4 linked regions of the Lonchura striata genome follow. The protein of the gene in region 1 purifies or fractionates together with the protein of each later gene. This does not show direct contact. Links are inferred from orthologs where the notes say so. Each region holds a gene or a part of one and is shown in the gene's direction. Other genes may lie near its edges. The genes, in order: CBX3, MGA, CHAMP1 and YAF2.

Region 1 (7,285 bases):
TGAAGAGAACTCTTCTGGACAAGAGAACTCAAACCAAATCACTTCAGCTTTATACTGTTAACTAACTTTAATAATCAAGAAAATATGCTTGGGCCTTTGGCTGTGTTTTCATTAGTGTAGTGGTTGCTTTATATACAACTCAAACATTACAGCAGGAGGTGTAACTGACAAACACAACATGATTAATTGTGCAATGGGGATTAAGATAAATTTTAAAAAAAGAACTAGAAAAACACTGAGACTAAGAAAACAAGCAAAATATTTCTGTGTACATATGCTTTTGGAAGAATTAAGCCAATCTGCACACAGACCAATGTATTTTCTGAAGTTGTCCAAGGTAGGCCTGGATCAAGATGCATGTAACACAGTACAATTACCGTAGGCAGTGACAACCCAGGGTTTTTTTTTCAAAATACACCTCTGTATTACCAGCCTTTCATACTGCAGTCTGACAAGGAAGTCAACTTTCTCCCCTCCTTCTTCCAAATACATACTCTATTTAAGATTGATCAGTTCAAATTTCTCTTGAAAAATATTTGACTCTGCTGTTGGATCTAGTTATTTTTCTTCTAAGAACACAAAGAAAGCTAGTACTGTCTCCTCCTTAGACAAAAGGACAAGCAAAATAAGACACATGTTCACAAGCAGCAGACACATGTTTCAACTAATTCCTTTTCACCTCATCACATAAAAGGAACAAAGAACACTGCACACCAGACCAGTATAAAAAAAACATATTCACCATATGTCATAGTATTATTTATTAATTTTGAGTAAAAGAGCAAAGAAAAATTTTTAAGCAACAATACTGCAAAAATAAAAATCCTCCCTTCAGTTCTGCTGCTTGAGAATTAGGGACCACTTGCTTACAGTTGGATATAAAAATGTGGTTTTTTTTGTAGATCTATGAAATCTATTACCACCCATTTAATAAAGGACATTATTATAAAAATATGAGAATTAAGTAAGTTTAGTAGACAGGCAGGATTTTTTCCAGTGTTATTGTTACCCCCTGAAAACAGCTACAAACCTGCAAACAGAACTCAAGAAACAATTGTAAAATTATAAAATATACAATAACAATTATAAAAATATACTACATATAACTAACAGACATTAAACAGAATAGTAATGCATTTTACAGATGTATTTAGGGTCATGATCTACCCAGAACATCTAAGCACCACACGTCAGAAAACAGCAATAACGAAATTAATTACCAGTTCTTTAATGAAAACCACTGTGCGAAAACAGCACACACGCTGCTCCACTAACACGAAATCTCTAGATGCAGATAAACTATCTGTCTCAAATGAGCCAGTCTGAAGAAGCTCTGGTTGGCCTAACACTAACCTACCAAAGTCCAGAGAGTTCTGCACATCTAAAGTTTGTGCTGAAGGTATAAAATGTACAATAACTATCATCATGCCAGTGTCTCATAGAGTCCTAAGGAAAATACTCTTTTGCTACAGACAGACACCTCATACCTAGGAAAGGCCACAATATAAAAGCTGGAGGTTAACACCTCTTTCAAGATTTCCACAGTATGGCCCGTGGCAGGAACAAAGCACTAAGGGAAATTTCTACCTCTGTAGGATCTTCATGCGTGTGTATTTTAAGCTTTACTCCACAGTCTTAAAGCAACTTGAAAGCACTGAAAAACGCATAGCCTTTACTAAAAAATTAATCACCAGAGAAAGGAAAGGTGTTTCACATAGCTGTAACGTGCGCAGACACAATCCACGCTGACAGCGGAATTAAGAACTCGGGTAACAGCAATGTTTACCGGAGACGAGCGAGGGGGAATCCCTGAACTCCAGAGCTCCGCAACCCCTCAGCGGCAGCTCGCTCGCCGCCTGTGGCGGCCGGGACGCAGCGGCCGCGCCGGCTCCACCATGTGGCGGCAGCGGGAACACCGCGGCCCCGAGCCGGGCGGGGAAAATGGCGCCCGGGAGCAGCCGCCGCCTCCAGGGACAGCGCTGCGAATTGCTGCCAGCGTACACCTACACACACGGTACTAAGGCCTCTCCAGCGCTCCTTCTCGCCCCCGTGCATACCAGACGACTACAGCTGACGCCCGCCTTGCCCACTCTGCCGGAGGGATCCCCAGTGCCTCTCGCAGACGCGAGTCCCAGCCAGGCCGCCATTTTACCCCTCCCCCTCGCCACCGCCATTACCCGCAGCGCCGCTCGGCCGCTCCGCGCCTCGGGGGGCCAAGACGGCCCCCCCAGCCCGCGGGGCTCAGACTCCCCCCGCTCCTCCGACACCTCAGCAGCAGCGCAGCTAATAGCCATGGCCACGGGCTCAAGAACGCGCTGTCCGCCATGCGCGGTTACCGCAGCTTCCGCCGCCTCGCCCGGCTGTGCGCCAGCCCCAGTCGCCGCTTCCAAAACCTTCCTCTGCGCAAAGACATCCAGCATCCGCCCCGCGCTGCGACCGGCGGCAGCGCCTGGACTTGTGCGGACGACTCAAGCTTGCTTGTAATTCTGAGTCCCGAAAAAATTCACTCTGTCTACACAAGCAAACGCGTCTCCCTCCTTAAAAGCAAGGTCTAAATCCACCCATTCCACGTACCATGTTCTTCATGGTTTATGTATTCCCGCTCGAGAGTACCGTACAACTGGTCGGTAATGGCTGCCTGAGCTGTTACGTAATTTGAAATTCAGCTCCGCGTAGTGTTAGCGCCCTCGTACTCCAGCTCGGGCTCGCTTCCGAGGTTTAATTAATTAAAAAAAAAAAAAAAAAAGAAAAAAAAAAAGAAAAAAAAAACTACAGGATCTGGAGCTTAAATATCTCCAAAGGGGCTGCAATTCTGAATAATGCCCCTACGTGTTTTTATCGTGTAATGAAAGTCATCGACTCCGTTAGTAATGGCCGTCTCCGAAATGAGCCGAAGGAGCTGTCGTCGTCGAGCTTATCCGCTTCGACAGCCGCCGGAAAAAGCCGAACCAGGAATGGAAGCCCATTCGACTCGCTTCGGTAATTTCCGGAATCTGCCGCAGCACGCGAAAATGGCGCTCGGGGCCAGCTCGGCAATTTCCGGACAGAAAGACGCAGCAAGTCACCGACTACTTCAGCCAACTCGGCAGTTTCTGACCATCGACAGGCTCGCGAGACGTGCCCGAGCGCAGCCGTAGCGGCCTCGAACGCTACTGGCACTCAATTTTGTTTGGTTTTTTTTATGGAAATTGACAAAAGGCCCCGAAGGCACAAACCTCGGCGTTATTATTAGTCGGGGGCGGCAGCGCATCGCTCCCCGAAACCTCGCCCTGGCCCCCTTCCTCCTCCGCCCAGGCAGGAGGAAGTGAAAGTTACACAGATTTTGGCACAAGTGCGATATATCGCGGGGCCCCGGCGGAGGGAGGCGGACTTCGCCGCAGCTCGCTCCGCTCTAGCCCGCACCATCGGCATCGGGCGTGCTGCCCGCTCCGCCGCGCTGTCCTCTTCTTCTCCTTCATCCCCTCCTTTTTTCCCTCTCCGGCGGCCCTACGCGCACCGCGACAAAGGGTGAGTGCTGCCGCCCCGCGCGCCAAAGAAATGGCGCTGGAGCAGCTCCTTTCTTCCCGCCCCCTCTGCTCCCCCTCCCTTTCAGCTTCACCGCGGATCCACCCGCAGCTCTCCTGGCTGCAGTGAAGGCTCCCCAGCCGACTCCCCCGACCCCTTTTCCCACTTATGAATGAGTTCTCGGGCCCCAGAGCCCCGCAGCTTCCCGAGCCCCCTTCCCTCCCCCCGCCCTTGCTCACACCCAGGCCTCCCCGCCGCAACGCGGGAAATGGCCGCCCTCCAAAGGGGGCCCCTCCAAACGAGCTTCAAACCTACGCCAGCGCTCCTCGCCTGCCCTCCCCACGCCCGGGGCCCGCCCGGCCGCCCCGATCGAGGGCCTCGCTCCGCGGCGGCGGGCAGCATCGGCCCGAAGCGCATTCGCTGCGGCCGCCATGATGGCGGCCGTGGCTCTCGGGGTCCGCCAACCCCGCCCGCTCCCCCAGGCTTACCCAGTCGCTTTCCCTGTCGCCGCGAGGCATCTTCCTTCTTTTGGACGCCTGGCGCGGTCCTGCGCTCGCCCCGCGTTGGAGAGACGTCTTGGCCCCCCTCCTGTGCCGGCGGCGACGACGGTCGGAGGTTGTAGCGGCTCGCGCGTAGGCGGCGGCGGCGTCGTGCGCTCTGCCCCGTCACAGCCGCCGGCGCGCAGAGCTCGCCCGGCCCAGCCCAGCCCAGCCCGCCACCGCCGCGCCGCTCTCCGCCCTCCGCTCCCGCCCTCCCTCTCTCGCTCCCTCCCTGCCCCCACCCCCCGCCTCAGCCCCCCGCGGATGTCGCTGTTGCTGCTGCCGCCGCCGCTCAGTGCGCGCAGGGCGGGAGCCAGGAGGAGACAGGAGACCTAAGCGGCTGGGCACCATTGAAGTCTGTATCCTTCTCTCTCTCTCTCTCTCCCTCTTTTCTTTCGCTGCAGCCGCTTCCTTTCACCCCATTCACCCTCGAGTCCCTTTCCCTGACTCCCCTTTCCTCTGCGGCTCGCTGCGGGCCGCCGCGGGGAGATGCGGAGCGCAACCCGCCCGCCTCCCCCCACCGCCGCTTCTTCCCCACCCCCGCTTCCTTGGCGGTGGGGGGTGGCGGGCGGAGCGGAGCTGTCGGGGAATCGGGGCTTCGGCACCCGCTCGGGGAGGGAGGGAGGGAGGGAGGCAGGCCGGCGCCCGGGCACGCGGGCGCTGTCGCCCCAGGGGAAGGAGAGCAGTGCCGGGGGCGGGGGCAGCGGCACCCGCGCGGCAGACAAAGCCGGCCCGCCGGCGGTCCCTACGTGTGCTCGGCCCGGGGAAGACGTGAAGGGGCGGGGGGAAGATGGCGTGGAGGGGCCCTGTCAGCGGCGGCGGAAGCGGCCCAGGCCTGCGTCCCCGTTACCTCGCCCGGGGCAGCCCCGCCGGCCTCATGTGCGCCCGCCGCAGGCCCGAGGCGCAGCAGGCCTCCGCAGGGCTGCCTCTGGTTTGTGGCGGGGGGGATTGTTGCTATTGGGTTTTGGGTTTTTTTTTTTTTACCCCTTTCTGCTGCCTCTCCGGGGGACGCAAGGCAAGACCTTCGGCACTGGCGCCCTGGCCCCGGCCCTTTTCCCACCTCGCCTAACCCACCGCCCATGCGGCTGCCAAAATCCGCCTCCCGTGTCAGGGGAGGATTGGGCGGGATTGCTGAGTCCGGAAGGCTTTCTGGCCTTAAAGGACTTTTCTGCTTTACCCAGGCATATGGGGAATTCTAGCATTTCTATAGCTCGCTGCGGGGCGGTGACAATACATGCCTATGGAGCTGGTCGGTATGAGAAATGACATGGAAAAGGGGATGGATTGTGTTCAACCTAATTTGCATAGGTTAAATATGTAGTATGTACATCTTAGCTGAGTTAATATTGTTTTAGGACCTTAACTCTTGCCAACTTGAGAATCAGAAGGCAACATTATAGTTGCATTAAGAGAAATATTTGCTGTTTATAAGAATTTGCTACCATGTAAGAATAATGGGTGATTCATTGCACCACAAATATATATATCTTCCCCATCAGATATTTACAGTTAATATACCTTAGGTATGTCTTCAATTGCTAGAATTTGAGCTCTGTTTCTATTTGGTTTAAGGAAATGAGCATCCCTGATGGTCCTCCCCCTTTTCCCTAGAAACATGTCTATGCTTTTGAAGGCCTTGGGAAAAATTTTTTTCAACCCTATATACCACCTTGTCAGTATCATTTATCCTGGCTAGCCTAATGGTGCATTACTGGGTTATGCCGGACAAAGTAGTAACCTACTTTTTGTTCTGGATTTAATCCGTGTAAGAAATGTTGTATGCAGTGAATACATGGGGGTTGGAACAAGGACCATGCTTGTCTTGGGATGCCTTTCTTTGAGTAATGCAAACTTCCTTTTAATTGTCATGCATTTTTCTAGTAAAAGCTCTGCAAGTCTGCAATAAAAATGGCCTCCAATAAAACTACATTGGTAAGTTCATGCACACCTAAAGTATATAAGGATTTAATCAACATATTTTTCTTCAAACTTATAACTTGGCATCTCCATTTAAAAGATACATCCACATCTCCCCTCCCCAGCATTATTCTGACCAAATTTCAGATCCAGAAAGTAAGGCTACTAGAAAGGACATTGTCTTTGGTTTTAATAAATCTGCCATTTCTAAAGAGAAACGTGTTGAGAAAAAAGTATGAAAGGACTCTGCACTATTTCATCTATTCTACAATAGAAAATACTGAGGATTTTTTTTAGCCTCCTTTCAGCATACCATGTAATTCATCATACATGTAAAAAATAAAGTCTAAATCATGTATTCACTTAATTTCTCCCAGTGTATTTGGAGAAAAATATTTGCCTGACAAAAGGCAATCTTTACAGATGGAAAGTAACATTATTGAGAAATGATGTGGCATAATTAAGATGCCTTTTGAAATGCTTTTTAACAAATAACAGTTTCTTTGAATTTCATAGGAGCAGAGATTATCAGATGTCAACCCTTCCTGGACCATTTTAATGATGCATTCATGGATCTCAAGTCCTCTAAAGCTTTGCTTGACATTAAAATATGGACTTCCAATGGCAGTTGGTTGCTGGTTGCAGTTCAACTAATACTGATACATAGTTTCATGAAAGACAGACCTGTAGAAGTATATTGTGAGATGTATCTGAGATTGAGATGGGGAAGCAAGCCAAAATATATGTGCACAATTCAAAACTCCAGCAGCAGAACAGCTGGTTTATAATAGTCTCGAAAGGCCTGTTCTTAAATTTACAGAAATGTTTACTCAGTTCAAAATATATTCAAAACTTTTATTAACTCCTGGCTTAGAAGTGCAACGGAGTGCTTCCTCTGTGTTGTACTGGTTTAAAATATTTCACCGAGATGAATGTCTAAACTTTCTGTTAGTAATTGATTGTCCACTTATCCCTAATTTGAAGAAGAGAAGAAGTTAGCCAGCCTGGGAAAGGGTGCTTTGGAGAGAGGAAAAAAATCTTTTGAATGTGGTATTTTTAATCTTTTGATGTTATTGAGAATTTTGCTGTACAGGTCAGGAAAATCAGTTATGGTTCCCATGGGAACCATAACTAATTCTGCTTAGTTATATATTTGCATGCAAAACCTAAATATGTTAAGGGGTAGGGTAGCTCTAGAGCTGTAATTCCAATTTTCTTACATCTTGTATGTTAAAATTTTACACCACAGTGTCACATCAGTGTTTTAACCTTGCCCCTCAACGAAAGAGTGTTTATCCATAGATCTACATCTGTCATATGTGGTG
Region 2 (7,973 bases), on another chromosome or scaffold:
AGGACAAAATTTTGCCAATGCATAGGAGCTTCTAGATGGTCTGCAATGGTCTAAGAATGGTTTCCAACCCACCCAGAAAACCTGTGACCCCACTGTTCTGCCTCTGAGCAGCACCCCAGCGCCTGATGCCTGCCTCATCCCTTTCCTCTACTCTTCCCTCTCCCTTTTCCTTCCTCCTTCTTACCCACCGGGTAGGCCTCCAGCTTTGGGGAAGTTGAAGGCCTTGACCCTAGTATGCCAGTGGCAGTCTGGGCTGGGGGGGCAGAGTTTGCCTCTTGCAGGAGGGACGAGTGTGCCTGCTTCATGTCTCCTTTCACCGGGAGAAGCTGCAGGGCACGGGTAGAGTCTGTCTGTTAGATCTGTAATATCGTTTGGGGCTCCCAAAACTGCTTTAAATGAGGATGCTGCAGCATGAAAACTACTGGCTTCACATATCTGAGAAATCACCGCCATTTTCAGTTTAAAAGCAAATAATTCTAGGAGCCAGGAGAGGCTCGGTGCTGTCGGGAAGTTCAGCCAGGCGCGCTGGCATCGGGTGCCTCCGCGCCGCAGCTGCTTTCGCACCGCCGCTGGCAGACGTGTGCGAGCGGTTTGCAGCCGGAGCTTCCTGCCAGGCTCCAGGACAGCTCCGTGCTCACGTGGATGCCGAGCGACCGGCGCCGGGGCTCCCGCGGCGCGTGTACGGCCGTGGAAGAGCCCTGGGCCGGGGGACGGAGGCGCTCGCTGGCCGCGCCCGCCCGCGGGCCCCTGGGGCGCAGGGCGGCCGCCGCCCCCATCGCACGCCGCGCCCCCCAAGCGCTTCGGGGCAGGTTTGTGCCCCGGCCCCCGCCCCATCTACGAGCGGGACTCGGGTCGGTAGCGCTGCGATAGCGATCTGACCCGGGAGCTGCTCCGGCAGCCTCCTGCCTCGGGCTTGCCTGGGGGAATGTTTAACCCCTCGCGTGCGGTGTCACCGCGAGGAAGGGGCAGCCCAGGGTCTGGGGATGGTGGGTTTGAACCATTCTGGCAGGAAAGGCTTTGTTAGGCTGCGGTCCCTTCAACACGGGAAAAGGAAGGACAAAAGACTAGGCTCGGCTAGGCTTGTGGCAGCAGAAGAGCCAAAACTGCGGCACACAAAGCAGTTGGGAAAGACAGCGAGGCTGGAAAAGCTCCTCCGGGGTGGTCGGGGCTGCTCCCCTCGGCGAGCGATAGCCTTTGGCCAGATCCCAAAGGTACCTTGTGCCCTTTAGGAACTCGCCTACAGCAAGAAAGCCAAATCCCAGCGTCTCGCCGCTGATGCATTCCCAAGGGGTTTCTGCGTTCAATAAACACCGTGCCGGGAGTAAACTGCAGAGACGCGCCAGCAGCTCCTCTCCTGTGGGTGCTGCCGCAGGTCCCCCAGCTCTCTGTGGAATGACTGAAGTGAGGAGCTAAAGTGCAGCCTTGTTTCACCTCTGCTTTCTTTGGGCTGGGGAAGGCAACATCTTGGGAATTCGGAGGTCGCAATTGTCCCTGGTCCTCGTGGAGGGAAGCTGGGACGATCCCTGAGAAGGAGAGGACTTGGCCGCCTTGCAGTCTTGTGTAAAAGAGAGAGCAGAAGCCCAGCCTCAGAAGCACAGGTTCCTTTGAGTGTCCAGAGACAGGAAGACTAAAGAGGGAAGGCTGCAAGGGGGAGCAGTCTGGACCTCGATGAGGTCTTGGGGGGCTTTATCACATTGTGAAACAAAAACAGCAATGAAGTTAGGGGCACGTCTTCTGCTTTGCCTGCCATTTTTCTTTGTCGAATTATTAAAAAAAGCTGGACAGACTTTCCTCCCAACGTTACCTCTCCAGTCCCAGCTGCTGATTCCTGGCCTCTGGCTTTGGAAAGAAGAACCTTTCTTGCTGTACAATTGCACTGTAATGTGCAGCTCTGGTGACCAGTATAAGGGGAAGGTTCGGGTTTAAATTGTGACAAGGAGGCACAATAGCAGCAGCTCCAATGTAACCAAGGGAAAACCTCAGAAAGCAACCATCATCAATGAACCCTTTCCATGAAGGTCATTATTTGGAATACAAAATCCATGCTGCAAAGCTAGTAAATGTCAGCTTCACAATTATCTCAGTGATCTTTATCTGGTTCCCATGTGTGTAATGCTGATTTCATGAAAAATTCACACATTATTTTCTTCATATGATCCTGACTCGCTCAGTGCCCAGGAAGTTCCATCCTTAATCTGACATTTTGCAGGCTTTGAGTGATTGATTAAAGCATTTACATAACATACTTCAAACATGAGGGTTGTGGTGGTTGTTAAATGAAATTATTGTCATTTAAATGTAATTATTTTTACATTTTGATTAATTATAAATGGATATTATTAAAAGGAGAAATTTGTTTATAGGGGTTGGATTTCTACAGTCATCATGAATAAACAGAGCAGGTAATGAGTTTGGCAATAAAATGCCAGCCTTAGGCATAGACCAGATTTAGCACCACCCTTTCTCTTTGTATCACACTTCCTTCCTCCCACAAGCTCAGCCCACTCAAAACCTGTGTAATTTATTCTTATAAAAGGATATGCCTGTTTCTGCTCAGTTTTTAAAAGCCCTTATTTCCTAAATATGCTCCTCGGTGGGAACAGTCCTATTGGATTTCCAGGCCCATTTTATAATTCTTAATAGGATGGGTGGGGATGGAAGAGCTGAAAAAGTTGGGTGTTGATTTCAAGTGAAGAGGCCCACAGTGAACGATGTGTGAACAGGAGAGTGGAGAGAAATGGGATAGTGAGTGGGCCTCTGGGCAAACAGATGATGTGGAAGAGCAGTGTGGTCCTCGGGCAGACAGGGCCCTGGAAGAACAGGTACTGACTGCCCTTTTTCACTTCCCCCTTTAAAAGGTTTTATTCAGAAGGGAAAGGAGGGGGAGAGGAGGATAATTCTTTTTCTTGCTTATTTAAGGTTCCTCAATCTCTATTGATCTTTACTTTCCCAATAATTAACTTTCAAAAAAAAAAAAATAGCCAACAAACAAGTTTTTTTCTGCAAAACCTCACTTGTAATTTGGGCACCTCTGTTTCAAATGATGTGTACATTTTTAAAGTTAGATTTTCTCAATCTAACTTGCATAGGAACTTCTTCAACACAACAGTTGTGAGATCTACCTCTTCCCAATAAAAGATATTTTTTGCACTTAGAGACCAAAACAACAAATTTTCTTTTTTTTTTTTTTAATCTGTTACACGAAGTTGGCTCATTGCTGTAATATTCACAAACACCATCAGGTTTCCTTCAAAACTACTGTAGTCATAATGTCTTTTCCTCCTGAGAGATTATTGAAAACTTACTTCCCTTCCATGTGTTATCTTTTATTTTTCCAACTCCAATATCTTTGATTGCCTTGGCATTACTTCTTTATCCTTTAACTGTAATGATGTTGCAAACATATAAATATCAAACAGTACATTTTATTTGGGCGGCGTTTCCTCTGTTTGGCCTATTAACTAAAACAGATCCCGCAGCTGAGAATTGGGCATTTTATCCCTTATAGCAGCAGAATTTCAAAGAAGCTATCCCTAAATCAGCCCAGAAATTCCAAAAAGACATGTCCTAAGTCCACCAGTGCTTTCTCCATTGACACCCAAACCCTTCTGAACTTCAGCTGTAAGACTGTAAAAGCCCAACAAAAGTTTATGTACCAGTTAATGTATCTGCAACCTTTGTATACAGATTCCTCAAATATAATGTAAGTTGTGAGGGAAGATATCTTTGATCTTCTCAGTGATCTGAGAACCAACCACTCAATTTGGTATCAATTCAATGCAAAGTTCAAGTTTGGAGAAATATGAATCTCTGCCTAATGAGACACTTCCCCTTTTACATCCCTCATGGACTCCCCAGCCATACTGCCACACATTCTCAGTAATGTCACAATGCCTGGGGAATGCAGATTGCTGTGATGACTGAGCACCTTTCCAGGCCAAGACCTCCAACACAGAAATTTCAGCCCAGGGCTACATTATGGTGCTGTTTGTCACCAGCTTTTCTTTAAATTTTAAATTGGTTTCCATTACATGTGACCTGCCTTTACCTTAGACAACTTGAAATTATTTTTCAAGACTGCACGGGAGGCCTGGCCGTACTCATTGATGCAGCTACTGCCCTCGGTTACAACTGCCACACAGCTCAGCCAACCTGCACACGTCCATGTTGCCCAGAGCTCACGGGGATTTCTGTATTTTTTTTTCCCATCAACATTTGTTCCATTATTTAACTGTACACCAAATAAAGGCTTTCTGGATAAGTCTCCAGAATCACCTTTGAGTACGTCCCTATGCTGACAGTTTTTATTTAACTCTTTCGGCTCACACGTAGCTTCCCGGTGACTCGGGGATGGGTGTGAGTGCAGTTGCGTGCAGCTCCACAAACACTCCCGTCCCCGGGAGCCCGGCCGGGTCCGAGAGCCTTGTGCGAGCGGCAATAGCACCCACAGCGTGGGAATCCTTCTGCACTCCAGCATCGCTCCTTCGGCGTTCGCTCGTAGCTCCAGCTACCGCCAGAACATCGCACCCCGCAGCACACGAGCCCCTCTTCCGTGATTCACGAATGCGGAAGGCGGAGGAAAGACGAGGAGCCGCGGGAAGGCGCCGCAGGCGGCCGAAGGCGGTGCGGTGCGGCGGCAGGAGCGCGCCCACGGGGCCGGCGCGGCCACGGGAGCGCGCTCGGGGCGCGGCCGTCCCTCGGGAAGGGCGCGCGCGGGGCGCGGCCGCCGGCGGCGCTACCGCGCGGCCCCACGCGCGAGCAGCGTGTTATCCCTCGCGCACGGCCGGGGGAGGGGCGGGAAGGGCGTGGCCGGCGGCGCCCTGGGAGCGGAACTGCGTCGACGGGCGGATCCGGCCAATCGGCGGCGCGCCGCTGGCGGGGCGTCGCGAGGCAGCTGCACCGCACGGCCGCCGCCGGACCCCGTTGCCCCCCGCGCTCCGGCACCGGCCTCGCGGGGGGGCGGGAGACAAGCCGGGGGAAGGGCCCGGGAACGTGCGTGGCCCACGTGATGGACCGCGGCGGCCAATGAGGGCGGCAGGAGGTCGCGCGTGGCGGGCGAGGGCCGCGTGGGCCGGGGCGTTGCCGGGCGGCGCGCGGACTCAGGTAAGAGCCGGCCGCCCCCCCCTCCCTCGGAAGTTTTTCACTCGAGGTGGCGCGAGGCGTGCGCGCGTCACGTGAGCGCGGCGGCCGCCCAATCACCCGCACGCGCGCCGCCTGCCCGCGCGCTGCCGCCGCGCCCGCGTTTGAGGCGAGGGGGTCGCGCGCGGGACGGGAGCGGGACCGGCGGCCGCTCGCACCCCTGGCGCGCCCCCGCGCCGCTCTGTTCAGGGGTGCGAGCGGGCGGGACCCGGGGGCGCGGGCAATGGGTAGCGGCCGGCGGTCACCTGACCGGGGGGATTGTTTAAAGGGACCGAGCGGCATCCGGGCTCTCCAGCCGGGAAGGGTCGGGTGAGGCCCGGCCCCGGGCAGCTGCCGCCGCTCCCTAAGCCATCGCGCTCCGAGGGATCGGCCCCCGGTGGGGGCGTGGCCGGCGCCACCTATGAGACGGGGCTGGAGCGCCGAGAGAGCCTTTCCCGGGAAGCGGCCCCGGTGCCCCCTGGGTGGCAGAGGCCGGCGGGCTGGGCGGGGCCGGAGCGGGGCCCCCCGGCCGGGGGCGGGGCGGCCCGCGGGCGGCGCGCGTGCGCCCCGGCAGGGCGCGGGGGCGGGCGCGGGGGCGCGCGGCCCTCGGTGCTGCCCTGCTTGGAACCGCTCGCACTGAGCTGGTGAGTTTAGAAGGGAGTCGAAGCGCGAAGGCGAGCTCAGTGAGGAGCGGCTAGGCACGAGGGCCAGCGGCTGTTTCAGCAGCCCGGGGAGATGAGTGGCTTCCCAGTATGTGGTTGGAGCATCTTGCCTGACTCATTGTCAAATCTTGCACAACAGTCACGCTGCCTTGCTCCCGACGTGAACTGTGTGAAGGCATGGGCCGTGTGTAATCGCACTTGATGAGATGGGCTACAGCTCCGAAGATTTGAAGTTGCTGCAGACTGAAAACCGAGGGCAGTTTAAAGAAGAGGGGCAGGCTGAAGCTTTGGTCTTGTTGCTTGCAGCTGTTCTGCCCGATGCAGCTGCAGCACCCTTTCAGTGCCCTCGGGCACAGTGCCTTGTGAATCTGTACAGATAACTGGAAAGGGAAATTTATTCTGCTTCAAAAGTGTTCCCATAGGTGAGCATTTTTGTACAGCTTTTTATAGGGAGAAAAAACCCATATTTCTTAGGTCTGGTGGAGATGGGCAGCATTCATTCACTTCCGTATTTCATCTAACAGCAGATGGCTGTTAACCTCACCCATTGCTGGCTCAGTATCGGTTCAGATGCTGTTGTTCCTGCCATGGGAGAAAACGTGCAACTAGAGGAAACCAGTGGTGAATAAACTTGTTTGGTTACCTTCCAGGAAAAAAAAAAAAAAAAAGGAAATTATTTTTGAATGTAGGCTGCTTCTTCATTTATATGCAAATCCACTAGATTGTTTGTGAAGCTCGTGATTGTTTTTAAAAACAACCTTAAGAAATGGGAAGTCCAAGACATTTTCCTTACAAACGCAATGAAATAGGTCTCTGCCTACTGGAGTGAGAAAGAGCTCTTCTTTGTGAGGAGGCTGTTGTCTGTTTGCTGTTTCATAGACAGCAGAGGATCTACAAAAGAACACTCAGTCATGGCATGTGCATAGGGAGCAGTGCCACTAGTTGTGGCACTAGCAGGGCTTTCCTCTTGTCTTTTTCTTCCATAACTAAGGATGTGTTGTGCTGTGTTGGTTTGCTTTTTTTGTTACTCTTTCTTAACACTGGATAACCTTAGAACAAATAATCATGGTGATGGTGGAGCTGCTCTTCTCTTTCCATACAAAGATGGTATGTACTTTCACTGTTGGATTTTGTCTGGTTTTAGTACCTGGGATAAATCCTTTGCTGAGCTGAATAAGGAAGAATGCAGTGAGAATGATATGTGAGAGAAGGATGATGAAGGTGTGTCATAAGAAGAAAGCAACCAGAAGAAAGCTCTTTTGTTTTATTTTTTTTAATCAAGCCCAAAACAGAAAGGCATTAAAGGAATGTGAACAGCATAAAAGAGAGAAAATGAATGGGAACTAGATAAAACCTATCTACAATAAAAATGCAATCTTTGTTCCAGTGACAATGTCAGGAAAAGCCAGTTTGGACAATGACAAGACTGTGACCCAGATACTGTTAAACAAATATTTGTGATGTTGGAATTGTGCTGTTTTGCTAACTCTTGTACAGTACTTTCTGTTAATTTGGTGTGGTCTTATGACCCCAGGGTAAGTCAATAAACAGTAATGAAGAGGGATATAAACCTGGAGCACATCACCAATGATCTGGACTTGAATGAGTGTCACGTTCTTTTTCCCCCTAAAAGGGGAATAAAGGTTCCTTGGCAGCTCTAACTTGCTGAACCACTGGTGACTCTGTAGCAATGAGTATTGCTATAAAATAACTGGATAAGTAGGACAGTCCTGAACTCGGGTGACGGCTTTTTATTTACGTCATTTTTGGTTTTTTCTTCTATGATGTGGACAAGATCCCCAGCTGAAGATTCATGTATGTGATAAATGTTCCTTATGATGGCCATAAAGGGATTGAAATTTATCAAAATGGTGCTATTCCTGCTGATTATGTCTGGTTTCTGCCAGTGTTGCATGGCAAAAAGCATAAAGCATTACTTCATTGTTTTATTTTGTGATTTTTGGTAGTTGAAATAATAGTATGTTAACAAATACAGCATTCATTGAATGTATGAGCAATGGGCATCTCACTCACTGCTGAAATATAGGAAGTAATGTAAAATACATTAACCTAAATATAACATGTTGTATATAGGTAAAAAGAGCATTTATTATTAGTTAACTTTACTTTCCCCCCTGGCCTCTCACCAGTGATTCATTCTTAACAGAAATCACAGAATCATTTTGGTTGGAA
Region 3 (6,968 bases), on another chromosome or scaffold:
ATATGACATTACCTGCTGGAAGTTCTTGCACAGTTTTGACAGCTGTTGAAGGTCATCAGCATCCAGAAACAAGAGTATGTGTACAATTATGTTCTCAGGCATTCAGTCAAGAAAATCAGGATATCAAAGGAGAAATGGAAACATTTTCAGGGCTGAAAAGGCTCAGTCTTGTTTCCTTAACATTTAAAAACATCCTGAAATACAAAGATTAAAGTTGCTTATATATTGGGAACTTTAAAGTTCCTAAATCAGGGATCAAATAACAAGGAGGAAAACATTTGTGAATATGTTACATAAGGTAAAAATATAACCAGGGGTATTTAGATGTATCTCCAATGAATTGTGATCTCCCTAGCTACACTGTTAGGTAACATTCATTGCTGTATTTGTTACAGTTACTAATGCATAATAAGCAAAAGGCCATTTCAGAAAGTAATTTAGAAGCCTACGGGAAGGAATTGAATGAAAAAATAGCTGTCTTGGATGATTAAACTCCATGCCTTCAAAAGCCTGCTGGCATTTTTACTGAGAGATTTCACCAGTGGATATGGTAAATTTTTGCATGTTGCTTATTAAAAAAAAAAAATCTAGAACTGCAAATGATATTCAAGTGTTTTTCACAATAATATAACCGAAAGGGGGGAGACTTATGAAACTTTAGCATGATTTCATAAATCAAATTTAATCCCTAGATGTAAAGGAAAAAAAGTTCTAAACAAGTTAAAAAAAGAAAGTATAACCATACAGTAAAAAAAAAAGTCTATTTAAAAAAAGTTATTCACTGCAGTTAGTTGAGATGTGTTCTTTACCTATGCTCTGTAATTGATAATCCAGAAAAAAAAAAATCTCTGTGGGATTTCATAACCTCCTTTGAGAGAACTTCTTCACTAGGTTGAAAGGAAATCCTCCAAGTACTCCAAATCACTTACAGGTAACAATAGCATGGAAGAAGTTTACTTAGTCTGTCTAAGAAGAAACCTAATAAATGGGGTACACCAGGTTTATCTGAAATTTAATTAAGTGTTTGATTCCATTCTCAATGGAAATAATTAACTACAGTAGCTGGAAATTAATTTTAAAACTGTAAGATGAATGAAAGCACTGGCAAATCAGAAAGAGATGACAAGTTCAGGATCAAGTGAAAATTACAGGTTATTAGTTGGCCTTGGGTTGACTTTACAGCTATTTCCATGAATGAACAAAGCAGGAGTCAGCATTTTGAGTAATAAAAAGCAGATAAAATGCAAGTACAAGGGGATAAGTAGCAATAATATTCTTAGCTGCAGATTTGGATAGAGTCGACCAGTTGGGTTTTGTTAGTCATGGAAAACCACAATCCCCAATGATAAATGTATAACCTGTAGTTAAAGAGATATGAGCCTGGGACGTGACTACACAGAACACCTGGAGGGTATCTAGCCTGCAGTGCTAGATTTCTCCATGGCATCTAGATGTGGAAAAAATAAATAAATTCCTCATCAATCAGTAATTGTAGTTAATCACTACACTTCCACTACATTTTCAGAGCATGGGCAGGATTGATTTTGTTGGAAACTTAGATATGACTGGTGAAAAATCCTGCTTCTATCCAAGCAGCCGGGGGATGTAACAGATCACTGCTGAATGCTGCCTGTCACAGAGCCGCCCTCTTGGTAAGGAAATGCTGCCGAACCTACAGCCCAAACCTACAGCCCGAACCTTGCCTGAAGGAGCTCTGAGCCATCCCTACCTATCCTCTCAGTGGGTACCAAGGAGAAAAGCTTAGCATCTTTCCCTCTGCTTCTCTCCTCTAGAAGATGTAGAGAGCAATGAGGATGTGTGAGAGACGGAACTATTAAGAGACAATGACTCAAAACATTCTTCATTTGTGGAGATGCCAGGGTGCTTGGTTGACAGGGAGTAGGTGAACTTTTAGTTGTGTAATGGCTAAACCTCTGATCTGATAAGGCACAGGGTGAATGATGGGCTGAGAGTGAGATAAGCGCTGGATCCAGTGGAGAGAATTGTGCCCCTTGTCGTGCCAAGCTGTGCTTCCTTGCACAAACCACTGGGCTGTGGGGCTTGCCCTCCTCCCCCTGGAAATGCCAGGGAACTCAAGTGTGACCAGAGCAGGTTCATCTCTGCTGATGGGACATAATGGGGCAAACTGATTCAACTGCACCATGATCTACAGTATTACATGAAGCTCCCTGGTCCTGAGAAGGCACCTGATTTATATTTACTTGAACCAGAGTGAATATAAACCCAAGAGATTATGTGTTCCGCAGATTCATCCCCACCACTTCTTCGGGACTTCGTCCATCACCTGACCACCACTTTGACCACAATCGCTGGACAGTAATCAAGTCTTACTGTGAGGCTTAGGGTGGTGAGATCCTCACCTTTCCTTTCCTTTCCTTTCCTTTCCTTTCCTTTCCTTTCCTTTCCTTTCCTTTCCTTTCCTTTCCTTTCCTTTCCTTTCCTTTCCTTTCCTTTCCTTTCCTTTCCTTTCCTTTCCTTTCCTTTCCTTTCCTTTCCTTTCCTTTCCTTTCCTTTCCTTTCCTTTCCTTTCCTTTCCTTTCCTTTCCTTTCCTTTCCTTTCCTTTCCTTTCCTTTCCTTTCCTTTCCTTTCCTTTCCTTTCCTTTCCTTTCCTTTCCTTTCCTTTCCTTTCCTTTCCTTTCCTTTCCTTTCCTTTCCTTTCCTTTCCTTTCCTTTCCTTTCCTTTCCTTTCCTTTCCTTTCCTTTCCTTTCCTTTCCTTTCCTTTCCTTTCCTTTCCTCTTTCCTTCTTTCCTTTCCTTTTTCTTCTTTCCTTTGTCCTTTCTTTCTTTCCCCTTGTATGTGTCCTTGGGTGATGTTGCACTTTCACATTGCAATGCTTTCATGTTGTATTACTATAGATAATAACCACCCAAACAGCTCCATACCTGTTTTCCTTTGCAGCCAAGTTGTTCTATAATAAAACCTACATTGTTTATTTACAACTACTGATCATTCAGTATTGTTTCACACTAACGTCCCCCAAGGGATCTAGTAACAAGAACCTGGGTTATCCTCAGCTTCTGTCTTAACAAAATGCCCCTCAGCCTCCAGAGAGTGTTTCCTTAAACACCTCCGGGGAGTAACTGTCCCTGGAGATGTTTAAGGAAAAAATGGACAGGTTGACATGCGGGTGCTCATTCACAGGTTGGAGTTGATTTCAGAGGTCCAACTTAATTGGTTCTGTGATTCTGTAACTCTTTCATTCTTTCATTACAGACAAAATGCACAGCTAAACCCAAAAGACAAAAAGCAATTCCTGAATTGAGGTGTCTAGAACTGGACACACAGTTCCTGAGGTGTGGCCTATTTGGCTGTGCAGAGCCCACACCTAGAGCCCTGCACACATTTGGGGAAGGATGCTAATGGCAGATCCGGGGAAGAGCGATGGAGGTGTCCTGCAGGGAGCGGCTGAGGGAGCTGGGGCTGCTCAGCCTGGGGAAGAGGAGGCTCAGGGAGACCTTGCCACCACTGCAACACCTGAAAGGAGCTGCCGCAGGCTGGGGTCAGGCTCTTCTCACAGGCCACCAGCGACAGGATGAGAGAACACAGCCTTAAACGGCATCAAGGGATTTTTGGGCTGGATTTTAGGAAGAATTTCTGTACTCAGAGGGTGGCTGGTTTTTGGAATGGGCTGCCCAGCAAGGTGGTGGAGTCACCGTCCCTGGAGGCGTTTAAGGAAAACTGGACACGGCCCCGAGGGCCATGGCCCCGTTGACACGGTGGTGCTTGATCAAGTGGAGGACCTCGGAGGTGTTTTGCAGCCTTTTTGTGGCTTTGTGACTCGGTGTTTCTGCGGCTCTGGAACTCTCCCCGCGCCGGACGAGCCCCGCGGGCTCCCGGACGCGGCCGGGCCCCGTGCGCAGCGCCCCCTGCCGGCGGGCGCGGAGCGCGGCCCCGCCCCCGGCCCCGCCGCCGCCGCCGCGGCACGTGACCCGGCCCCGCCTCCCGCCGCCGCCGCCGCCGCCATTGGCGGGGGGAGCCCGGCCCGGCCCCCCCGGCCCGCGCCCGCCGTCCCGGAGTGCCGAACGGTGAGTGCCGCCGCCGCGTCCCGCTCGGCCCCGCTCCCGCCGCCCGGGCCCGCCGCGCTCCCCTCCCTCCCCCTGGGCGTCGGGCCTGGGCCTTCCCCTTGTCCAGCCCCCGCCGCGCGGGGGGCGGCGGCGGCTGGCGGTGCCGGCGCGGGGGGAACAAAACCGGTGGGGCCGCGCACGGGAGCGAAGAGGGAGAGCGGAGGCGGCGAGGGAGAGCGCCCGCCGCGGCGGCATGAACGGGCGGGCGGCGTGGCCCCGGCCCCGGGGGTGCGGCCCCGGGAGGGCCGGGCAGCGGGGAGCCGGGAAAGCCGAGCCCTCAGGCACCCCCTTCCCGCAGGAAAGTTAGAGTGATGCCGGCGGAGCGAGGAGCAGGAGGAGCACGCCGCCGGTCCGCTGTGCCGGGATAGCGAGTTCGGCACGGGACGTGTCCCCGCCGGGACCGGGCCCTTCCCCGGTGACAGAAATAGCTGCCGGGAGCGGCTGCGTCGCACGTGGGAGCAGAGGAGCAGGTGCAGAGCCAAGGCTCACGGCACTTCTGGAGACAGGTCCTGTGAGGAGCGGCTCAGGGAGCTGGGCTTGTCCCGCCTGGAGAGCAGGAGGCTCAGGAGGGACCTTAGCGCTCTGCAACCGCGAGAAAGGAGCGTGTAGCCAGGTGAGGGTCGGCCTCTCCTCCCAGGCAACAAGTGACAGGACGAGAGGACATAATCTTAAATTGCACCAACGGAGGTTTAGACTGGACATTAGGAAGAATTTCTTCACTGCGAAAGTGATTAGACATTGGAATGGACTGTCCAGAGTGGTGTTGGAGTCACTGTCCCTGAAGCTTTTTAAGGAAAGACTGGATGTGGCACTGAGTGCCATGGTCTACTTGACAAGGTGGTGTTCAGTCATAGGTTGGAGCTTGATGATCTCAGAGGTCTTTTCCAACCTAAACGATTCTATGAATTTTTTGCAAGTGAGGAATATAGAAACTTTGGATTTCACATTTCTCTTCTGTAATCTTCCCTTGAACTCCATATTCTTTCAGGGTAGTGTTAATGGAATTCTTAGCATGTTACTAAGTTTCACGACCCTAATTCAGATCTTGACTAGATTGTTATGCTCTAGTGGGTCTAGTGGCACTTCATTAGCTCAGGTACAGCACTGCGACAGTAATGTTTTTGGGGGCATTTTTGGAAGCCAACTGGAAGTGGAATTGTGAATTTGGAATTAGAAAGCTGTAGAAGCAGTACATGGAATTAATTTCTTCTGTCTTGAATCTGTCGAAGGTATACTGATTTTACTCTGCAATTTTGACTGTTGATAGATCTTCTATCAAGAGCTAATGTTGTGTAGACTTGTCATTCTCTTCACAAAGATTGAAATATTGCAAAATTGTTGCAGTTCTAGGTGGTTTGTTTTTCTTAAGTCATCTGTATGTGTATCAAGTATTGTCACTTTGTAGATCTCTCCTGACTTGAACCTTTCCTGGAAACATGGAACTTCATAATGCAGCATTTCCTTCCTGGAACTTGTGGCTCTCACGTTCTTAGCATTCCTTGCTGTTTCAGTGGCTGGTTGGGTCAGAGTGTTTGTGCCTTGTGTAGATGTGTAATTTTAAAGACCTTGTTCAGCAATTGTTGCTGGTGGAGCTTAGCCTGAGTAGATTGGCTGATAGCTGGGAGTTCAGATGTGAGGTTGTAGTCAGATACTGTGGATGCTTCTGGACTAGCAAGAGCACAGGGCTGCCTGTCTTGTTCATGGTGCCTTGGAAGTGATGCCCGTACCTGCCTAGTGCACTGTGAAGTGCCTGCTCTGCCCCACGGTGGGGTGTTTGTGTGCAGCTTCCTCTGGGAGCTAAACTTCTCTTTGTCAGTCACAATACAGGGATGTAGCTTCAAGAGAAGTGTCATGCTGCCACCAAACTGCCATTTACTTTTTGGCACTGCAAGAACATGTAATTTTTCCTTTTGCTTAAACCCAGCAAAAGTCTGGATCTGTTCCTGCTATCAGAGGCAATGATGATGCTGTATCTCACTTACCTCAGCTTTCTTTTTCTGAGAACAAATTTGCTGTTGACCCTCCTCACTGACAGAGGTTGTGACTGAGCTGTTAGTCTGCAAGAAACTTCCAAGGCTGATGAAAGCCAACAGTGATCCTTCCTGCGCAGTGACTGGTATAGGGAATCTTATGTGTGGTTGTAGCACATTGCAGAAAATCACAGGGCTTTCTTCTGGGTCATTTTCCCAGCTGTGTTGGTGTCATTAAAGCATGTTGCATGTTCTCTCTCTGCTTCTGTTTCACCAGGCTTCATTGAGAGGAAAGGGTTATATATTCTTCTGAGAGGAAAGAGTTATATATTCTTCTGCCCCTGAGAACCAAGACACAATGATGTAGCAGACTACTTGTTGCTGTGCTCTGAATTTCTTCATGTAATGTAGAAAGCAGTCTAATTCTCTGTGCTCACTGAGAGTCTAGATCTTTAGCTTTGAGCCCTTTGTTGCTTCCCTTGGACAGTCACAGCTTATCTTCAGTAAAGGAAAAATGCAGTATATAAAAAACTAGTATATATTAACTGTTGCAATTCTAAGTGTAGAATGTGTTTATTAAAAATTACCAGGAGTGATTGGAAGATTTGTAGCTGTGAAATTGGAATGGAGTTAAAATGTATAGACATCCTTGTTTGCTGCCAGAGTCATGTTGTACCAACACTTGCATGGATTCCTTCTTATGTATAGGTATCTCCTCTGCATTTTTCTGCTTCTCTTCCACTGGGACGTTTTTGAGAGGCTGTAGGAAGTATGGCTTAATCTTAACTGGGATCCTTGTGGAAGATGGGTGCAGAATCCAGGGACCATCTCTGACATGGCTGGATGTGTTGGCTGGGAGGACATCAGGAGGTCTCTCCTCTCTGTGCATTAGCTTGGGACACTCCTATTGC
Region 4 (6,883 bases), on another chromosome or scaffold:
TTGGAGCCAAATTTGTCTAAGCATACAGTCAAATTATGACCCTAGAAAGACTCCTGGACTTAATTACCACCATGTTACTCAAGGTTCATGACAGCATATCCCTGCTGATGTCAGAGCCACTCTGTGTGAAACCTGAAGGATATGCTGATGAATCAACTCTCATAAGTGCTATAATTCCCTAAAAAATATACAGTATGTTTAGATCAAACTTGTACATGCAAGGAAGTGAAAACTCTTTTAAAACAGCTTTTAGGCTCTCTGATGTCATGAAGTATTTTAGATGTGGTCCCTCTCTGTTCTGGCCCTTTCTAAAGCAGAATTTCGCTCTCCTGCCTCCACACTCTAGTAAGAGGAGCATGAGTAGTCAGTGGGCTGCTCCCAAGGCTGAGCAAACATAGGCTGGAGGGGCAGTGCTTGCTGTCACCAATCTTATTGTCTTTATTATAGAGTCTGCAAGCAGATTTCACTTTTCACTGTCTCTGATTTTCAATTTTTCCCCACCCTAGTATCACATAGAAACCCAGCCAGGATTCAGGCCTTACTCTACCTAGCATTCCAAAAAACCCCTTGCCAGTCAAATTCCCATTAATTGATTTCATTGTATTAATTTTATTATACCACCACAACCCAAGCAAAACAGATACACTGTGCTGGAATAACATGCATTTGTTCTAGTACAATTTTATACTTATGTGCTATTCCTTTTCATGAATAGGGATTAAAATGTGGTTTATCTACAACATAATGATAATCATCTTTATGGAGAGTTTTTTAAGCTCAAGCAGTGACAAAGTGATTACTTAATTGCTCAAGATGCTGATAATGCAGCAACTGGCACAAGTTTGCTGTGCACAGTGATGGTTCAAGTATTGACTAAATGGCAAGTCTTTGTATGGATTTACACAGCACTAGCTTGTTCTTAATAACCTTGTATGTGAACACCTTTTTTTAGGAACAACTGTAATTTTTTCTGCAGTAAGAATTTTTACACAATAGGTACTTAAAAATTTCTACCATCCTCTTTCACATCTTCTTTACTATGAATAAACTTTTAGCTGAGAAGTCATGAATGCCAGAACATTTATACCATACACCGAAATACATAACTTCCAATAGCTATCAGCATATATGATTTTTAATATCATAATCATACTATGAGCATTTCCCTTGTACAATGCTACAAAAAATATAAATTTTAAGATAATAAGACAACAAACACTAACTAGAGAGTGATGCCTGATGTAGAAAGATACAATTATATTGCTCATCCCTTCTGTCTCAAAAATGTGTTTACATTAACTCAGCTGAATTAAAACAGGAGGCAAATAATTGCTCTGGAAGAACTGTACCAGACAAAGTCAAAATTTAAGGATATCTAAAATTATAGTACATTCATCCCTTTTCTTTCCCAGAAACATTTTTTAAAAGACTGCTAATACTGATGCCATCAATTTTGTCATTCAAAGTTTCTAGATCATGTGCCATACAGACATTTAGCAAAGACAGATGAGTTTTCTGGGTTTACATGAATACCACTGGATGACAAAGTATCTGAGTATGGAATTTTTTACTTTTTCAGTTTACCAAAGTCCCCCTGAATCTCTTCAGTATCTGGCTATTACACACACCTCTTACATATGCTTTCCAGCATTGCTGCTAAGTAATGCCTTCCATCACTGTTTCAGTTGCAGGGATGACATGGGATGGCTTGATGCTGTCAGTGGTCTCCTCTTGTGTTCCTATTTGAGGACAGAACAAGGATGCAAGGAAAATAGTATTTTTTTCCTTTTCAGGATTATTGAAGAATAAGACCCACACTTGCACAGACCCATGGCCACTGTGACTTGCATCATGACCCATACACTTGAACTTTTGAATGTACCATCCACATTTCAGCTTCCAAAATAAAGATTAGTTGGAGCTCAGGGGAAACAAGCCCAATGCTGCTGGGAAAACATGGTTATTTTTAGTCATGGTCATTTGCATGATGACCTTGAAGCAGAAGGTCTAGAACACAACAGCCAGAAAGATTACTCTTTTGTTAGGGATAACATTTATGGATGGCAGTTGCATTTCCTCCTCCTGATTATACATGGTCCTCTCCAAGAATGGTTCCTGAGGGATTAAAACATATCTAGGCACTTTGAAACCACAAGTGGAAATTCCGTTTCCCACAGTTGGTATAGAGAAAGTAGGCTGTGACAGGGGAAAGGTCAAGAGAAAGCAGTCATATCAAAATAATTACTTTCCAAAAGTAGGGAAATAATGTTTGTTTATACAGTGACTGAGAAAGAGTGTGCTGTGGAAAAGGGCAAAAGGAGACAGGTTTCTCTACTGCTTTCCATCAAGAGATTTCTACATAAGGTCAGGTTCAAGCACAGGTGGGATACCTCATATAATTCTGTAATTTTAAACATCCGCTTCTGGACTACTGGTGTAAAGTACTCTTTATAGTCAATGGAAAGAAATAGTCTCCATAAGTGAGACAATTGTCTTAGCATCAGATCAATCACCTTCAGCATGAGCTTGTTTCTCCTGCTGAGAGCTGGGTCTGGGCTCCTAGTCCATGTAGATGTCTAACTAAATGCACATGAGCCCAGGCCAGCTGTCTGTGCGTGGCATGCCTCACCCTCAGATGTGCAATCCGTACATTTTATTCATAATTTACAGAAGACTGCATGAGAAGCCTAAAGAGAAATTGCAATAGACAAAGGAAAGGAAAGGTGAGGCATATATAGAAAGAGAACCGTAAGGTGAGGAAAATGGCAAGAGTGGAAGGTGGACAGGTTTCCAGTTGCTGACACACAGCATTCCTAGAGAGACAGAGAAAACTGTGAATCTCGTAAAAGTGTTATTCATTTGCATAAATGCTACATCCCAGTTAAGCGGTCTTTAATTGCTTCCCTAATGTGTCAAGTGCTTTACCTACATTTTCCCTCTCTATCCTAGTATTTCTAGCTGAAATTTATCTTGACAACTTTGCCTTCAAAATCAGAAAGTTTCTCTGTTGTCCACTTGCTTAATTTTTAAACACGTCTGTGTCTTCATACACTTCAGTAAAACTCGAAATTTGAGCATATTTTGTTATGGAAATCCCATAATTTCTTGGCAATGCAGCAGGAATAGCTTTGGCACTGAGATGCTGACCGGTATAATTTTATTGTCTTCTTGCATTCTGCTCTCTACCTGTGTGTCTAGCTGCTGTCTTTGTTATGCTCCTAGGACATGTGCTCTTTGTTCTATTTGCACAGCACCCTGCAAAATGGCATCCTAGTCTGTGACTGGACTCTGGTGCACTCTGATAATAGAGGTGATAAACACCCGTGTCCTGTCTGAGGTTGCTATGGTGCATGAGAACCACGCTGTTCTTGCAAGCTTTTAAGTGCAAAAGTAGGACCCTGCGCACGGGGACAAGGCAACACCATTCTCCAGGTTTTGTATTGATACCCAGGGTGATCTCCCATGGCCTCAGGCCAACGGGATGCTTTAGACCGAGACTTCTAGGCAGAAGTTCGCATTCAGCTTATCCGCGTTTGTTTCTTACTGTAAACCACTGCCCGGAGCAATTTCTGTGGGAGGAAGCACAGGACGGTCCAGCCGCTAATGCGAGCAACCTCGGGCGACAACACGGGCGGCTTCACGGGAAGAGCCCGCAGGCCGGCGGCAGTCACTCACCGCGCCGCTCTGCCCATCCGCACCGCCTCCCCGCCGGGGCCGCCCCCGGCGCGGCGCCGCCCCCGCTCCGCCCGCCGCCCCCAGCAGCCCCCGCGCTGCCCCGGGCCCGCCGCCGCTCGCAGCGCCCGAGCCGCCGCGCAGCGAAGCTGCCGCCGTGCGCGGCCCGCCGGGCGCCGCGGCCTGCGGGCGCGCTGGTTGGCGGCGGCGGGACACGTGAGCGGGGAGGCGGCGGCGGCAGCGGGAGTTTCCCCGACAGCTGGGGCTTGCGGCGGCGGCTCCTCCTCCCCGGGTCCCCGCGAGAGCCCGGAGACCCCCCGCGCTCCTCCTTATTGACAAACGCACAAAGGGCCGCGCCGGGGCCGGGCCGGGACGCGTCTGGAGCCGGCATGGGGGACAAGAAGAGCCCGACCAGGTAGGGGCAGCGGCGGCGCTTTCTCGTTCCCCCGCGCCCTCCGGGGGCGCGGGGCCGGCGGCGGGGGCGCGCCGGGGGCGGCGGGCGCGTCGCGGCCGGTGCTGCCCCTGGCGCGCGTGTGTCTCCGCAGGCCGAAGCGGCAGCCGAAACCCTCCTCGGACGAGGGGTACTGGGACTGCAGCGTCTGCACCTTCCGCAACAGCGCCGAGGCCTTCAAGTGCTTGATGTGCGACGTGAGGAAGGGCACCTCCACACGGTGGGTCGCCGGCGGAGGGGGAGCGGGGCCGGCGGGGGGCGGCTGTGCGGCCGTGACAGGAATCGGGGCCGGGGGAGCCGCGGTGCATCCCCAGGGTGAGAGGGAGGGCGGCCGTGACAGGAATCGGGGCTCGTTTCTCAGGAGTGGGGGCGGGAACACGCAGCCTCCGCCGGCCGCGGCTCCTCGGTGAACCTGACCCAGCGCTGCGCCGGCGTGTGTAGAAACAGAAATAATAAATACCAGGAAGGGCATAATTGCCTGCACAGCCTAACCCTGGAGGTATTGTGCCCTCTCACGAACAAGAACTGTCCTCTAGGGTGTGCCTGCTAAGACAGTCACCCTTTAAATTTTTTAAAAATTTATTTTAATTTTTTTCCTGTGAGTTTAACTTTGCTTCATACATAACCCCTTTGTTTGATTATTATTGGTAGCATTATTTTAATTTGCTTTTCATCACAGAGCATCACCATGCAGGTTTCCGAGGGCTATAGGGGGTGGATTATAACCCTTCAGTGTTCAGGAGAAATTTTTAGCTGAATTGCGCTTTATGGAATTGTCTCCGTGTGTACCCGTGACTTCCCAGGAGGACCTTTCCTCTGTACACCAGTCACAAAGCTTGCTGTAGATTAACTGGTTCCTGTACCTGCCGGTGGCCTAAACATGTGTGCTTGGGGAATGGAGGCGTTTTACAAACGAACTTGAGTGCACTTGTAGCTATGCATGCTAATAGAAGGTTGCTCAGGAATCCTTTCTTACCTTTTCATACCTACGGGTTAATCCCATCAGCAAGAGAAGTTTAAATGGCAATCAAGTTGCAATCCTATCAAAAGCCACAATTACATTGTAGATATTGGTCAAAGCAGTGATGAGTATGACTTGCAATAAATGTTACATGATTGAAATCGTAAGGGCAACGTTGGGTCCAATTACTCGATAAAAATGATTATTCTTTATTTCTGGAGCTAGTTTCCCTGACTTCTGAAAACCAGAATGAATATTGGAAGGACTTCTCATAACTTCAGTTGTGAATATTAGTTGAATGTTTTTGTTTGTTTGTTTTTTAACAAAGAAAATCAGTAAGGTAAATGTGACAGGAGGGAATTGCATCTGTCACATATATTATGGTTTCCTGTTATAACAATGGCATTCTGTTTATATCACAGAGAGATGTGTACAGATTGGTATCGTTCAGCAAAATAAGACTGATGAATTAATGCAAAGGCTTTAAAAACATAATGCAAAAAGCCTCTAACATCCAATCAGTTTCATAAGAAAATTCAGTTTAAAATTATGTTTTATTGCTTTGGAAGCTCAGCTGGATAAAAGCATTGAAACTTAAAATTTTTTTTTTCTTCTGAGAAACAAATATTTTCATTGTCTTCGAGTTTCCCTGCTTGAATATTTAATATTTAAAATAATTTTTCAACAAATTGTCTTTTTTCTTTTTTTAGTTTCCACTTTCTCCCTGACAGTGACCTGGTATGCAAACTGTAGTCAATAGGTTGATTCTTTTTTCCCCCTCTACTTAAACTCTATAACAATGTGTCCCTGATTACGTTTATGGGACTCTTTGGGACTCTTTTTCCCCCTAAGATTTAGATGGGTTGCATCTTCATATTGCAAAATCCAAGTTTTACACATGGCATGAGGTAGATAAAAGTTGAAGTTTTAGGCCAGGCAGCTTTTGTCTCCAGTTCTGATATATGATTTGAGCCAGTAAGGAGACCTTTGTGTCCATGAAGAGAATCATTAGGGTGCCAAAGAAACACAAAAGGCCATCTGGGTGCTTGTTTTTTTTTCGTTGTGTTTTTTGTTGTGGGTTTGTTTTTTTTTTTTTTTTTTTTTCCCTAAAGACCTCTGGAGTCCAAGTGACCAAATGATTACCTTGGAAAAGCATTTGTTGGTGTTGCCTATAGGACAAAATGGTTTTCATCAACATGGGGCAGGATAACGATGCTACCATGTTTTGATGGCACTGAGAATGCATTATTTATTTATTTTAGTCTTCCATTTTGAAGCTTGATGTTAGATTAAGGTGCTGCATCAGCATGGTTGTTGCTGTGCAATGCTTCTTGCTTAAAGGCTTTAACTGTGGCTTTTTTTACTGATTAGAGCTTTGTCTATAAGACATTGTAAAATGCTACCTTTATTTTAAATTCAGAGCAATCTCTTTCTTTTTGTTGAAATGTGTACCTGATTCTGCATGTTAAAAGTTCATTAAATGTGACCAGATTTGCAGGTGGAAAAACAGGCAATTGTATTGAAGCTAAGTGGATTTGAAGGCCACTGGAAATCAGGTGCAAAGTTGATTAAAGCTTTTTTTATTTTAATACTGATTGTGCACATTTGCCTTTCCAGAAATATTTTCAGGTATGGGTAGGTTTTGTGGGTGTTTTCACTGTTGAATAATTTCTTCTCTCTGAAAGAGTTATCTTTTGTGCCAGAGGCTAGAAGTGGATTATGTTCTTTAGTAACTGATATAATTGTTAAGATTAGTGCAAATTTTTACAATTTCTTGATTATATTTTATTTTTAGACTG

What was found.
Region 2: the proteins of CBX3 (region 1) and MGA purify together in Homo sapiens (affinity purification with mass spectrometry; 4 studies listed by BioGRID and IntAct, with this or other methods). This does not show direct contact. The link is inferred for Lonchura striata from reciprocal best matches to the Homo sapiens genes CBX3 and MGA.
Region 3: the proteins of CBX3 (region 1) and CHAMP1 purify together in Homo sapiens (affinity purification with mass spectrometry; 6 studies listed by BioGRID and IntAct, with this or other methods). This does not show direct contact. The link is inferred for Lonchura striata from reciprocal best matches to the Homo sapiens genes CBX3 and CHAMP1.
Region 4: the proteins of CBX3 (region 1) and YAF2 purify together in Homo sapiens (affinity purification with mass spectrometry; 4 studies listed by BioGRID and IntAct, with this or other methods). This does not show direct contact. The link is inferred for Lonchura striata from reciprocal best matches to the Homo sapiens genes CBX3 and YAF2.

The regions. Positions count from the first base shown.
Region 1 is NC_134603.1:123,910,347-123,917,631, reverse strand, and holds the start of CBX3 (chromobox protein homolog 3), read left to right. Parts: upstream 1-4,277; 5' UTR 4,278-4,398; intron 4,399-5,924; exon of another isoform or gene 5,925-5,951; coding exon of another isoform or gene 5,952-5,975; intron 5,976-7,285. Other genes in the region: HNRNPA2B1 (heterogeneous nuclear ribonucleoproteins A2/B1), read right to left, coding at 3,993-4,022.
Region 2 is NC_134608.1:37,052,799-37,060,771, reverse strand, and holds the start of MGA (MAX gene-associated protein), read left to right. Parts: upstream 1-4,968; 5' UTR 4,969-5,103; intron 5,104-7,973. UniProt on the Homo sapiens protein: Functions as a dual-specificity transcription factor, regulating the expression of both MAX-network and T-box family target genes. Functions as a repressor or an activator.
Region 3 is NC_134604.1:90,839,329-90,846,296, reverse strand, and holds the start of CHAMP1 (chromosome alignment-maintaining phosphoprotein 1), read left to right. Parts: upstream 1-3,961; 5' UTR 3,962-4,048; intron 4,049-6,968. UniProt on the Homo sapiens protein: Required for proper alignment of chromosomes at metaphase and their accurate segregation during mitosis. Involved in the maintenance of spindle microtubules attachment to the kinetochore during sister chromatid biorientation.
Region 4 is NC_134607.1:38,823,468-38,830,350, reverse strand, and holds the start of YAF2 (YY1-associated factor 2), read left to right. Parts: upstream 1-3,868; 5' UTR 3,869-4,061; coding exon 4,062-4,087; intron 4,088-4,217; coding exon 4,218-4,343; intron 4,344-6,883. UniProt on the Homo sapiens protein: Binds to MYC and inhibits MYC-mediated transactivation. Also binds to MYCN and enhances MYCN-dependent transcriptional activation. Increases calpain 2-mediated proteolysis of YY1 in vitro.